Bombyx mori: one gene and its partner. The main gene of each other region encodes a partner of the protein of the gene in region 2 in a complex. Links are inferred from orthologs where the notes say so. Each region holds a gene or a part of one and is shown on either strand. Other genes may lie near its edges.

Region 1 (3,424 bases), on a different chromosome or scaffold from region 2:
TTTTTATTGATATGTCAATACAGATTTATTTGAATATAATCGTCTCCTTCAAAGAATACGGTTCAAAACCTGCATTAAATAAAGGTTAATAGTTAACCTGTTATTTATCTAAGATGTCGTTCCGAAGAGTTTTGTGACTGCCAATGGAATACAAAGTCAATAATTCGTTTTTCTGATTTACCAATCATTGTCCAAAAGTCAGATTGCCGCCTTTGATAATAGTCGACTCACATACAATAGCGCAAGGACGAGGCTTTTTGAACATCTATATGCTTTTTACAAACCACTAAAAATATACTTGTCATTTATTTGGTTATCAAGATGCAATCAAATATAGCATCTTAATTCAAACCAATGTTTACTAGAAACTAATAATGCCAAAACTGTACCATCATATTTTATACGTACCATTTGAAAATTCTCTATTATTATTCGTGAACAAATTCAAATACGGACTATAGATTAGGCGCTTTTAGGATTATTATTTTTTTGTTGTTTGATTTACGCGTATTTATAAACAATCCACGAGACTGTGTGTTTGTCTGTTGTGTGTTTGAGTGCCGCCGTCGTTTACTTGAGGAGCTCGTGAGCGCGCTGGTTCGCCAGAGTTATCCTCGTTTCATTTGACTCTCCCTATGATACACAAGACCCGTATTTTTTTTATATATATATATAGTACAAGCTCAATACACAGCGACTGCTCATGTTTATAATAATAAAAGCGGCGTCGGACCGGCTATAACGACTTATCCGCGCTTGCCATTTCCATTGGCATGTCAGTCGCTGTTTCTTGACAGACAGAGTATATAACATGTTAGTTAGTATGAATGCGTGTTACTGATGACCTCTAATTCTGCGGGAGTCGGACATGTTATTCGAATGATGTCGGAACTAATTCCGGTATGTGGTTATGTAATGTATTCATTGGGAGTCATGACATCGTGAGACGAGAGTACATTACTAAATTACGAAAAAAAAAAAAATCGTATCATTCTTATTTCTAAATCTAATAGAGCATGCTTAAGATAGAAGAATAGGCGATAAGAGTATGCAACTATATCACATTTGAACACTAATTTTTTATAGGTCGACTATTTAAGGTTTATAAACAGATTTAAAACTTCATACATAGTTAATAATAATGATAATAACCGGGAACAAGTGACAGGCGGTCATCCAGCCTCAAACAAGAGACTGATATAAATAGCAAAAAGACCTTTTAATTATTATTTTTGCGTACTGTTGGACGAGCTCACAGCCCACCTGGTGTTAAGTGGTTATCGGAGCCCATAGACATCTACAGCGTAAATGCCGCCACCCACCCTGAGACATGGGTTCTAAGGTCTCAGTGTTACAATGAATGTATGGCCAATGTGGAAATCGAACCCACGTTCTTCGACCCAGCAATCAGGAGCACCATCGATTCAGTCACCAAGTAAAATTGTTTAAAACTTCATATTTACTTCTTTTTTTTGCATAATAATATACTTGGTTGACTTAGCTGTCGTGGAAATGTATATTTTATATCTCCTCGTAATTGGCTAATGAGGAAATAATAACTCTTTTTGGGTGTCTCACTTGGCGACGGGGGAATTTGGTTATTCTATTCGTATCACAGATTAATCTAAGCGCCGGAGGTAACAAGAGATTTTATCCGCTTCATAGGCTTACTTGGCTACCGAGGAAACATGTTATTTTATCTTATCATAAATTGACAGGGCCGTTGAGGAGATATTATATTTTAACTGCCTCAAACTCTTATTCGACCAAAGTAAGTTAATCTCTAAATAACAACAACAAGAACAATTCTTTTATCTCCAGATGACCAATGACATGCATTTCTTGTTCGAGACTTTTACAATAGCAACACTAAGTAGAATTTAACCAGAATTACGACCTAAATCTTTATAGGTTATAACGACTTTTAAAAATAAATCCTAGCTACGTCATGTTTTCAGTTATTAACCAATCGGATTTCGACTCTATTTTTTTTTCTACCCAATACCTGCCAGTAAGCGGGTGATCAAACAATTTCGAGGGCCACTAAGCGCTACATTTTTCGTATAATGGACAAACTCTATCTAAGCAACTTCGTTACTATAGTGACAGGCAAATGCATACACATTGAAATGGTGATCAATGAGTGCTATGAGAAGCGACAGAATTCATCGAGGAAAATCAATTCGTTTCTTCTCATTAGCAGATTAAAATTTGAAAACCACACCAGATAATGTACAAGACGAAGATTTGAAATATATTTCGATTTGATCAGTAAATTCGTTGGTAGTGTTGCCATTTTATTTATTTCTCTGATGTAAATATTAAATATAATAATTACTGTAGATAATTAGTTTAATAAAAAAAACCAGACTATTTTTGTTGTATCTTAATATTAAAAACATGAAAAAGTTAAGTTTAAGAGAACTTTAGAATCTATTTAAATGTTATTTTCATTTATTCTTTATGATAATATAGACAAAAAAACATTTTAAAATACGTCTGTACATACGTGCAAAGGAGTGCTTAACTACTCTTTTTTAATTTTATTTCTTTTCAGGAATTAAATAACAGCTTATTTAAATTTAAATAGAAGTAAATGAGAATATAGTAAAAAAAATTTTCTATCTGGCAACACTAATTTTACGTAAACATTCAACGAATTTACTTTGTTCGAACTATACAGGTCTGTCACGTAGTAGGGTTGTGACGAACCATTCGATCTTACCTTGCGATTGATGCGGTCGATCTGTCGGTTCTGGTTCTCGAGCTCGGAACCCATGTCCAAGGCCATGTTGCGCAGATTCCCGATCATGGTGTTCACTTGACCCATGTTCTCCTCCATTTCGTCTTCACGAGCGTCGTTCGTTATCCTATCACACGACTTATATATTAAACGACAGAAAAAATATCTATCGTAAAAAAAACGGATCAACATTAATTGATTTTTAGATTAAATTTAGATTAATCGATATATTAATGCGAGAAGCAAAAATTTTGTATCCCTTTTTAAGAAAATTGCGCGGACGGTATGAGTATGAAACTTCCCACTCTTATAGAGAATATACAGAAGGGGTGAAGAATGTTATTTTTTTTTAATTTGCTTAAAAATTCATGAAATCAATAAAACAAGACATTACACACACTACCATTTGTATATGTATTTAACACACACAATGCGTGTGTGTTATATACTATTTGTTTATTGCCAAACTTTTCTTATTGCTTATAGTCTGTGGTCAAATTGAGAATAGATTAAATATGACTTTTTGGCGGGAACGCGAGGAGTGAAGTTGTGTGATTTGTTTTATTTTGTCTATTTAGTGTTTCTTCGAGTTCAAATGTGTAATAATGGTGGTTTATTAACTGTTTAAAATCTGTGAAAGTGCACAAATGAGGGAAAATGAAACAAAGCCGCTGGACGTAA
Region 2 (3,839 bases):
CGTTTTATGAACGGTTTTCGTTCTAAGTCTATTCGAATATGTGCCTTCTGCAAACGAGAATTTAATTTTTACATTACAGCCAACCCTAAAATAGTGAAATTCAATGAATATAGTCTTCTTGTCCAATTAAAACAACTTTTACGGTTATTAATCTTAGTTACGGACGACCGCAAGATTGATATGTAAAAGTGGTTTTAATTTATCTTTAAGACCTGCGAAAACCGAATAGTTTTAGTAGATCTCTTTCTTACCTTTTGGCAAAATCTCTAATCTACAGAACGGATCGGACAACCCTGTCATGTCCATGCCAATTAGCCCTCTGGCTCTTAGCACCGTGACCGCTAACGAGGATGTAGCGTTTTCGTATGCCAGCCGTATCTCTAACGTACCAAAACCGGCATCAGGGATGGCCGGGGCCCTTTCGATTTGTGTTACCGGTTTTTGTGCATCCTTTCTCGCGTTCCGTACGCTGTAAGCACTGCTTTTACTGCTTGTCCGTTTCAAACCCAATGGCCTTTGGTTGAGACTGTCGGCCCTGTGAAGGCTTAACCCACTGAACCCGTGTGTCAGAATGTCAGTTTCATTCCAGTCAAATGGGCCGTCCTGTAAGTGAGTATATAGTAAAAAATATAGTTTGAATATATGGTATAAATGCGCACGTTAATGCATATGGATCGTGTTAGAAATCAATGAAGTTAGGTATGGAATGTGTGACAGAGCTGATCTCTTGCGATTTTAAAATATATCGACTTAAATATATCCGTCAATACACACATTAGAAGTACCAACTATCAAATAAAAAATAGAACATAAATAAAGTAACTTCAATAAGAATAAGTTAAAAAAAAATTAGTAATTTTTAATCTAGTGCTATTTTGAAACACAAAATTGAACTATAATTAAACATTAAAGCCCTACGACTTCCTTAGTCTTTCAATTATTTCACTCATTCGTAGTGTTAGAACAAACTGAACATTCTTGATTAAAGGCCTAAACAAACTAAGTTTTCCTGCTGCCATTACGAAGTTATGGGAAGTACGAGTCCAGTCCTTATTAAATGTAACTTCTCCATGTGTTATTCAGTTTTCGGATATGACCGGAGGCTATTCGTTTGAGCTAAAGCTACACAAAGAATAAAATGTGAAAATTTTCGTAACGTTTTAATATCAAACGAGTCTTCGAAGATTGTTTTCATGTTCTAAACAACAAAGGAGATTATAATTTTAGTTCGAGGAATTCTCTTACATTTAAAAATGTTGACATGCTCTATATTTGGTCAGAAAACTTCGCTGATGCCAAATTGCAAGCGCGCACTAGTTATACCGCCACGTTGCCTATTTCTATCGTTAGATAGTCATGGAGAGCCTAAAGCATTGGCGTGGCTATACACATCAATTGAAATCTCATTTCTATGGGCTCCGGTAACTAACAGATATCAGTTGGCGAACCGTAAAACCACTTCACCAAATTAAGCAATAAAAAAATCTTAATACCCGTCTATTATGGATAATCATCAATAGAAACACTGTTCTAGTTTAATCATAAATCCATTAAATGAACAAATGGTATTTTTATATCGTTATTGTCTACTAAATTAGATCACCCTTAATTGGGTGAGTCAATAATAAAACGTATGTGTCAATTAGCAGCGCCCTGTTGCAGCCTCCCCATCCCATTTCCTCCATCCGTCATCTTGTATGACGCACGCAGTACGAGGGTTGTAACAGTAAAATATCCGGTTTTATTTGCTATGGTTTTTCATACAGATTTATGAAATGAATATAATTTTGCTCCACAAGTAGTTGTTCATCAGCTTGGTCACAAAACCACAAAATATGATATATATTTTTTTGAAGTTTGTACACAAACTCTACTAATCACAATAGTCTAGTCTATGTTTTAAATTTTAATATGTTTTGCCTAATATGAATCTAGTTTTGATTGAGTTAACTATGAAACAAAAATGGACGTTAAGGTAGTAAATTTTTAAATTTAAATTTATAAACCAGTGACAGCCCTACGAGGACATAGCGAAGGCCAGACAACGGTCCATCTCCTCGACTTTCCATTTATATACAGACGCTGAGTGTCCATTTTATGGCGTTTACAAATCGTTAGTTTTTATTCATGAGATTTTCATCAATCTGCATAATGTTGTTACATTTCTTACTCCGGTAACAGCTCTTGAAGCTAACTTGTAATTTATAGCTCGTTAGATCGGAGCTTTACGACTTAAATTTACATGTAGCTTGATTTTGAGTGAAATTACAGCTTTAAATTGATGTTTTATTTTTGTCTTTAAAGGCAAATTAAACGTTATATGTTTTATTCCAAAGAAAATCTCCGATGTTATTTCTGCAACAGTACAACACGATACTTTGTCCGATTATCTATTCAGTTTTTTTGGAAATTTGTTTTGTAAGCCACTGTTTTTGTCATAGTACTTCTACTTTGTACAACCAACCGTGTTACTTTGTAACTAGTCAGAAAAAAAACTCGATTTGCATTAAGTTAGTTAAACTAGGGAAACCGGGTCACGGCCAGCTTTTTTTTTTCTTTTTTTTTCCCTACCTATGCTGATAGCCTTGAGAGGCTATTTCAGCTTCTCCTTGACGTGTAGGTGAACTCACGGGGCTCAAACCGGGAGTGTTGCTAACATTGGCCCTAGCAAGAGCAGTGCTTCGCGGAATCTACCACAGGTTCGGAAACGCGACCGACTGAGAAAATCCGGCGAGAGACTCAGTGGGCTACGCCCCGCTGTGATTTACGCTTTAAATATGAAAATACTAGCGACCCGCCCTCGCTTCGCTTCGGAAACTGTAATTTATTATTGATTTCTCCACTATTTAATGGATCTTATTATACATATAAACCTTCCTCTTCAATCACTCTATCTATTAAAAAAACCGCATCAAAATCTGTGGTGTAGTTTTAAAGATTTAAGCATACATAGGGATATAGGGACAGAGAAAGCGACTTTGTTTTATACTATGTAGTGAAGTAGCATTCTTTCTATTCATTCTGTAGCACTCCAAATATGTTTGTATTTAGAAAATTAAAAAGAAACACGTTTACCTCAAAATTTCGTTATTGAGCTTTAACTCATGCATACGATTTTAAACTATTTGTTTGTTTCACAGATATTCTGCATTGTCTTGGCTTTGTGGATGGCTAGAACTATAAGAGTCGAACGTCGGAAGCTACAACAAAATTTACAAGCACATTTCGAAACATAAAACTGGTCTTGTTCAGTCCATACTGCGTTGTCACAATGTTAAATTTTTTATGATTAAGGGGAATTTTAGCTGTTAATGGAAAAGTGCTTAGGCGTTTATTCGCATGCATACTCACACGCTATTGTTTTTAGGAATACATTTTTGTTGTTTGCCAATGGTATTGGTGTCAACTCTATTCATAGTGTATTCTATTTTGGTCTGCCATACGATAGTTTAATGTTATCTAGCTTCAAAGCCTCACTCACTATCTTTGTGTGATTCGTAGGATAAGACACTTATATTAAGATTCGATTCCCTATATCTTTTAATTAATATTATTGCATTTAAGGTTTTTAGAATTTAGAAGACTGTCAGATTTGGAATGTAAGGAATTTTCACGTTTTCACATGTCTTTCAAAGAAATTTTATTAAGCATCATTTTATGAGGTTGTTAGATTTCATTCTTATTACTAAGTAAGATTAATTTGATAAAATATACCACGTTAGCAACGAAGAGTTAGAACTTTATTTTCACCATTTAAGCCTACAATGTAGAAATAGTAATTGCACAACGTGACGTTCTGTTATTTTTTGATTTTGCTGTCATTTTTTGACAACAAAATT

Evidence for each region.
Region 1: the proteins of rabphilin-3A (region 2) and synaptosomal-associated protein 25 are in contact, whole or in part, in a crystal structure (PDB 5LOW), measured with the Rattus norvegicus proteins. The link is inferred for Bombyx mori from reciprocal best matches to the Homo sapiens genes RPH3A and SNAP25. Residues at the interface, in NP_598202.2 of Rattus norvegicus: His617, Ser618, Ala621, Ile648, Ser649, Ala650, Lys651, Gly652, Leu655, Tyr659, Leu662, Lys663, Lys665; in NP_112253.1 of Rattus norvegicus: Glu38, Asp41, Ile44, Arg45, Leu47, Val48, Met49, Asp51, Glu52, Glu55.

What each region holds. Positions count from the first base shown.
Region 1 is NC_085131.1:7,037,021-7,040,444, forward strand, and holds the end of synaptosomal-associated protein 25, read right to left. Parts: intron 2,871-3,424; coding exon 2,573-2,870; 3' UTR 634-2,572; coding exon of another isoform or gene 571-633; 3' UTR 538-570; downstream 1-537.
Region 2 is NC_085122.1:7,032,267-7,036,105, reverse strand, and holds part of rabphilin-3A, read right to left. Parts: intron 604-3,839; coding exon 252-603; intron 48-251; coding exon 1-47. UniProt on the Homo sapiens protein: Plays an essential role in docking and fusion steps of regulated exocytosis.